Kluyveromyces lactis: one gene and its partner. The protein of the gene in region 2 interacts with the protein of the main gene of each other region in a pairwise test. Links are inferred from orthologs where the notes say so. Each region holds a gene or a part of one and is shown on either strand. Other genes may lie near its edges.

What was found. The genes of interacting proteins can lie anywhere in the genome.
Region 1: the proteins of ARG3 (region 2) and CAR1 interact in binary tests that used the Saccharomyces cerevisiae proteins (3 or more experiments, as listed by UniProt). The link is inferred for Kluyveromyces lactis from reciprocal best matches to the Saccharomyces cerevisiae genes ARG3 and CAR1.

Annotation. Positions count from the first base shown.
Region 1 is NC_006042.1:59,580-63,314, reverse strand, and holds CAR1 (arginase), read left to right. Parts: upstream 1-1,930; coding exon 1,931-2,890; downstream 2,891-3,735. Other genes in the region: PEX25 (Pex25p), read right to left, coding at 1-487.
Region 2 is NC_006042.1:1,330,830-1,334,681, forward strand, and holds ARG3 (ornithine carbamoyltransferase), read left to right. Parts: upstream 1-1,765; coding exon 1,766-2,770; downstream 2,771-3,852. Other genes in the region: SIP4 (Sip4p), read left to right, coding at 1-249; NTR2 (Ntr2p), read left to right, coding at 578-1,432; TRL1 (tRNA ligase), read right to left, coding at 2,914-3,852.

The DNA.
Region 1 (3,735 bases), about 1.3 Mb from region 2:
GCAGATTGCCTTTTGAAAATAATTTCAGATAAGCATCCACGTCGATATCTTTATTATTGTAATACATTGACCTCTGTATGAAAATTCGTAGTATATCTATCACATATTTGAATATTTTCGCTATACGATCTTTACCCGTTAGTGTCGCGAAAACTGCTTTCAAAATATCAACCTTGTTCATAACTTTGATCAACTTAACACTGTCACTACGTTTAGAGGAATTATGCACAGTTCTGTCCGCCCTACTCGTTGCACCCATTGTGCTTTCCCCTGCTGATAGAGATAATGTACCATTCTTTTCACTGGCATTAGTACCACTACTTCCACCATCACTGGAAATAACAGTGACTTCTAAGTTATTCAACTTTGTAGGTGTATGTGAATTATTCTGTATCATCATTGAATCATTCCGTGCTGAGATTTCAAATCCCTCCGTTTCGATGCTTACATCCGCTATATTAGGCGGTCTATAAAAATCGTCATTCATATCGACTTATTCTGAATTGTGTAAACGAGCCAATGATTTTCTTATGAGCTATCACCGTCCTTAAGTAGTCGATTCTTCAGGATCAAGATGATTATAGAAATTACAACAGAATGACTGAAGACAGTAATATCCTTTTCTTTCACCACTGAACTAGGAAAAGGAACCAAATTTGCTGACTCTATTTATTGCCGGGATATTTTTCGACTGATTAATGCAGCATTGGCATATGTAAAGGATACTCTTAATATAGTGCAATAATCTATGACTCGTCAGTTATCTGCATCAGCTTTGATTTGTTTTGTTTAAGATTTTCTGTGTTTTACATTTTTCCTTGGGTTTATTTTTTTAATTTTTGGAGACTATGCAGTTTAAACACCAAAGGAAGTCATCAACGGATTGAACTGAGCTGTGGGAACAAAAAAAATGAAGGCTCGAAGCCTTTAAGGGTTTACTGGATAATCCAAATGCTCGGAATTAGTGTCAAAAAGCCGATATTTTGAACTTTGAATACTCCTACCAGTACGCGGCAAAAAGATTGATCACCGATACATACTCAGCGCTCTATTGTGGATGACATTACCAACATTGGATAGATAGGCATCGTGCACGTGACTTGAAATACCTCTTCAAAATGATCGCTCACAATAACTATGAAAAAATGACGTTCATTAGTTTTTCTCCGTTACCCGATCTTCGCTAGTTTTATCACTTAACGAAATGCTGCATACAAACTATTATATCATAGATCATCAAGTCAAGCTTAGCAGCGCGATAATTACCGATCCCAAAGAGAGCGAAATCAAGACTGACATGTATTCTTATCTCGAGATGAGAACAATTCCTTTTTCTGATACTCATCCTCTTTTCACGTCCTGCCGTCCAATCGCCGTCAAAGTAGCAATTTTCGAGGCATGTTCTTTCTTCTATCTCTACATGTGATGGAATGTCACACATAAACGTTTATCTAGCCTGAAACCCTTAGCAATTGTCCCCTCCAACATATTGTTTGGCGATTCATTATATAGGATATGGTTGTTTTTTTTTGTTTTTTAACTATGTATTATTATCAGGAAAATCGGTAAAATACGTCAAAGGAAAGTTTATTGTCGTTAAGTGCAGGAACAAGAGAACGGTAAAGAGATGAAGAGGAGAAGCATCGGTATACACAAGCACTTAACGGATTATTATGAATTAACAGGGGCGAATTTTTTCTCGAACATGTTTCGCTGAATGGGATCGTTATAGTTTTTCGTCAAGTATATAAAGAACCGAGTTTCCCTTCGAGAGAAGTTAGACTTCTATAACAGCTTTTCATATGTCCAATGATTAGCGTCAATTCATATAATACTCAGCAAGTCGAAAAGAGGTTATTCACTGATATACATACTGTATTCTTGAGTGATCTTTAGAATTTTATTATAACACGCACAACACAAATACATAATGTCATCCGATCCACGTTTTGATTTCTTCCAACAAAAGAAGCTTGGTATTGTTCTAGCTCCATTCTCTGGTGGTCAACCAAAATCTGGTGTTGAAAATGGTCCTAAATACTTAATGAAACAAGGTTTGAGATCAGATATCGAATCTCTAGGTTGGGAAACTACTCTTGAAGAACCTCTAAAAGGTAGAGATTTCGAATCTGGTAAGAATGATGAAACTGATGTTTATGGAATCATGAAAAGACCAAATTTGGTTGGAGAAGCCACAAAACTAATCTACGAATCCGTTAAGAAGGTTTCCAACGAAGGCAGATTGGCAGTGACCCTAGGTGGTGATCACTCGATCGCTATCGGTACCGTGGCTGGCGTCTTGGACAAATACCCAAATGCTGGTTTGTTATGGATTGACGCTCATGCTGATATCAACACATGTTCTACTACTGAATCCGGTAACATTCACGGTTGTCCTGTCTCCTTCTTGATGGGCCTTGATGCTAAAAACACTCCTCCATCCTTAAAATGGGTTCCAAAATGTTTGGATCCAAAGAAGATCGCCTACATCGGTCTAAGAGACGTCGATGCCGCTGAAAGAAAGATTTTGAAGGATAACGGTATTGCCTCATACTCCATGTATCACGTAGACAGATATGGTTTGAACAAAGTCATCGAAATGGCTTTGGAAAAAGTTGCACCAAACGGTGATGAACCAATCATGGTTTCCTACGATGTCGATGCTATCGATCCATTATACGTACCAGCCACTGGTACTCCAGTAAGAGGTGGGTTGACTTTAAGAGAAGGGCTGTTCTTGGTAGAGAGAATCGCTGAAACTGGTAGGCTAGTAGCCCTTGATGTCGTAGAATGCAACCCGGAACTGGCTTCTCACGATGGTCACGTGGTAGATACTATCACAACTGGTTGTTCCATTGCAAGATGTGCTCTTGGTGAAACTCTACTATAAAGCTAGACTTCCGCTTTCAAGGCCGTCCCAAAATTGTACATATATAATGAAGCTCAGAAATGAGCAATAAATAATCCCAACTAAAATGATCTATTGAATATCTTTAATCATAAAACCCGTATCCCATTCCTGATGAACTCCTTTCTAAAGTCTCGTGACTGATAAATAACCCATTAATATTGTTGGTGATACTGGTATTACCAGTCACGTGTTGTTATTTCAAGATCTTTTGTATCTGATGAATCCATAGTGTTTATTAGCTATATATCTAGTAATGTATGTTGATGCACCTGGGGTTCTGGCATGACTGTGTTGATGGTCCTTGTCCAGATCTAATGCCTCCTTATATAATAATTCAGATTGGTTAATGGTGTTTCAACTAGAAATCCTTACATATCATCTTGATACTTAACCGCCTATTACATTGGTAGTTACCCGATCATAGTTTATGATCCGTTTCAACAAATATCGATTTTAACTTCCTCCCTCTGGTCTATTTCTGACCAGGTAAAGTCCCATTAGCCACAAAAACATCAACAGTAACATCTGCTTGACCCCGGCCCTTCATTGCCCCACTGCTCTTCTCCAGCTAGTATGTAGAAAACACGTTTGAAAAGGAACGTGAAAAGGAGTAAAAATAGCGGGTCGTAATGGTAAAGGCAAAAGAAATAAGGGTGGAGCAATTAATGGGTCACTTGTAACAACTGCTACCTAGCCTGGATATTCATATAATAGCTTATCTAATTTGTTCTAGCTCCTTCGCTACTTCTTTGTAAGAAGGAAGGGGATGAATTAAATCCATTTCTCCTGATCAATATGTCCAGGCATTTTGGTGAAATGTCATG
Region 2 (3,852 bases):
GTACCTGATACCGTTAACGACACAACTAATTTATTCAAGATATATGACGATGCCAATGATAACATAATTGATGACGAAGGCTACGAAGAAGATAACGAAAGTGACTACAACGAATTGATAATATTGCCCAAGAGGCGAAGCATGGGTCACCATCCATCTGCAAGAGCGTCCAGCATCCATAAAGCCGGAGATCGAACTGATTTTTCACTTTTCAACAATAAGATCGACCACATCATAATCAAGGAGTAGCTACTCAAATCAAACAGAAAAATTCAGACAGAAGAATCAACATCCGCAATATCCATAACTATTTATTACTGATTACTACTAAGTGTCATCTCCTCTTCAGTCCTTTCATGATAATTATTACTATATTTATTCTGTTCACTAGACACTATTCTTTACTTCTCCCATTAAATATACTTATAATGTTTTATCAGTTAATATTCATATATACCATTAAAATACAAGGTGAAAAGCATAACAAAGGGAATAGAAAAAGAGACAGAACAATACATAACAAGACAGAGAGGTATATAGAGATTATTTCCGTTCCACCCAATACTGCTGTCTCATCATGGTAAAGATCAAGTTGCCTGATTTAGAGAGCGATGAAGACGTAGATCTGATAGGAACCTCGATCAACAAAGCTGCAACATCAATCTCTGACGAAGAGACCGAGGAGCAGCTGGCCAAACCGTTAAAGTTCAAGTTGAAAAGAAACAAACAGGTACCACTAGTAGAGGAATATACCAATGATGATGATTACTCCACGTTGTTTGAGCAACCCGCCGGAACAAAACCCCGTAATACAAAGGAAACGATTAACGTATTGAATTTAGAAGATTTAGAAGGTTCAGAGGAAGAACAAAATGAACCACCTAAGTACACCAAGAAAGTACAAAACCGCAGCCAGCTAGTTTCAGAGAAGAAAGTTAACGAAAAGACGTACGTGAAGTTGCTCAGCAATCAGGATAAAGACGATTTACGTGAATTGGGAATAACCGCCCAGGCTGATATTTACGCTGAAGAAGACGATCAACTATTGATGGATAACTCACTGCAAGACGAACGGTTAGCATTGGGAGACAAAGAAAAACAGCTGATGCAACAACGGAAACGTAAAGAGATTGAACAATTGATAAGTTTGCATGATGAAGAGACCGTTTTACCACAGGAAATACAAGAACTTGATAAAATAAGCGGTCAAAAGACAGTTCTTCTACCCAGATTGCAACCCGAGCAAAAATGGGAAGATATATATCAAGAGTTGAGCGAATACGCTGCTTCTCAACGTGACAGAGACACTCTAAGCTCCAAGAGAATCGAAATATTATCACAGCAATTGCAAGATTTGACGTTGAAGAAGGAAACCTTTCTAGAAGAGATGAAACAGATAGCATCGTCACATAACAACAAACATCCCACGTGACCAAACACGAATCACGTGATGCTAAATTGTGACTCACCATATAAGGTATGACGCATAGTTTGGGAAAGAGCCCATTCGTACAGAATGACTGCATGGTATATAACGAACAGCACGAAAACGGCAATTTCTCATTCAGAACAGAAAAAAGTTAATAAAAAAAGACAGTTTGACCAATTCTTACCGTTAAGTACAACTGATAACGAACTAACAGTTTTAGATTCTACAAAACTTGCAAGTATCTACACGCATTTGACAGCTGCTTTCACCTCAACCGACTGATTTTTAGGTACCCGAAGGCTGCATACAGAATTTTTTACTCCAGATTTACTAGCTATGACTATAATGAGCGCTGCTTCTTCCTCTTCTTCTGGTGATATTCGTCATTTGATTTCGATCAAGGATTTGAGCGATGATGAGTTCAAGAGCTTGGTCGATAGAGCCGAGTATTACAAGAAGGTGTTCAAGAGTAATGATATTTCAGAATTCCAAAAACAACATTTGAAGTTGTTGGGTAAGACCATCGCTTTAATTTTCACCAAGAGATCTACTAGAACCAGAATTTCCACAGAAGGTGCGGCCGCATTCTTCGGTGGTCAACCAATGTTCTTGGGGAAAGATGATATCCAATTAGGTGTTAATGAATCATTCTATGATACAACTAAGGTTGTGTCTTCCATGGTTTCATGTATCTTTGCCCGTGTCAATAGACATGCTGACATTTTGAACTTGGCCAAGGATTCTTCTGTGCCAATTATCAATGCTCTTTGTGACAAGTTCCATCCTTTGCAGGCCATTTGTGATATGTTGACCATTAAGGAACATTTGGACTACGATAACAATAAATTGAAGATGGCTTGGGTTGGTGATGCCAACAATGTGATTAACGATATGGCTATTGCTGCTTTGAAACTGGGGATCGATGTCGCCGTAGCCACTCCTCCAGGTATTGAATTGGACAGCGACATCCAACAAGAGGGTCAAAAATTAGCTGCTCAGAACAACTGTGAGTTTGTCTGCACTCATGATTCGATGGCTGCTTGTACAGACGCTAATATCTTGGTGACAGACACTTTTGTTTCCATGGGTGAAGAATTCGCTAAGGAAGCTAAATTAAGACAATTTGCTGGGTTCCAAATTAATTCAGAACTATGTTCTGTTGCTGCACCAAACTATAAATTCATGCATTGTTTACCAAGACACCAGGAAGAAGTTACGGAAGAAGTCTTCTACGGTAAAAACTCCATTGTTTTCGAAGAAGCAGAAAATAGACTATATGCAGCCATGGCCGCTATTGACATATTTGTGAACCACAAGGGTGACTTCTTCTCACATCCATAATTTCATTCGGATAGAAGTACCTCCTTTCCCATCGTTTCTCCATCAATGTTTATATTTGGGAAACGTTAATGATATATACTCTCTTATATAAATCGGTTGTATCCCGGTAGCTTGGAAGTTACCTGCATAGTCATATTATAATGTTATAAATTAATACAGACTTTCCCGCTAAACTGAAGGTTGTCAGTTGTCCCTAGACTGATCATACCTGTATCAGTATCCGATTCTTGTATACCGAACTCATACACTTCTTTAGCCAATTCACCAGAATACTTCGCTGTTTTCTCATTGGAAAACAATGCAAGTGTTATGTGAGGAACTTTGTTAAGGCAAGTCAAATGGTCCAAATGAGTACCATCTGGCATAACAATTGGATGGGTATCATCTAGCAGGGAAACGGTAGCTAGAATTACGTGCTTATCCCAGATTAAATCTCTCAATTTGAAAGAGACACTATCCTCCGTAGCGATAATGTTTTTGGTAGCCTCTGAGTTATTTTCTTTTGAGAGATACTCTTTGTATCTATCCAAGTATTTGGCCCACATTTGTTTAGCTTTTATACCAACAGACCTGATTTGAGACTTATGGTATAGGGTTATATGCAAAGCGTCTTTGAAAGGAGTTGAATCCAGACTTTTAAGCAAAGAAGGGTACTCTGATGCATGTGTTTCAATGGTTTTTCTGACATGTTGCAATAAAAGGTCTGTGTCAATTACATTAGCTGAGAAATATACAGGTTTATGCTGCTTTTTGTCAATTTTATTCCCACCTTTAATGATTTTCGTTATGGTTGGTTTGTAATTGAGAGCCCTTTCAAAAGCCTGATGTACGATAGAATCATCTGGGATCGAGGGAATAACGTCTCCATAATTACGCTGTAACTCTTTGAGAACGGTAATAGTGTTTTTCAACGACGAGTTCTTGCCAACTTCCAATTGTATATGGAAGTCAAATTTGTTATCAGGATCTTTGGAAGGAAGGAATGGTTGGAATCTGTTCATGAATCCTTGCATAATTTTCAAAACCTTCTGCTGATCGTCACTTTCAGATTTGATGCTTTGATGATTGTCACCTCTTTTCAT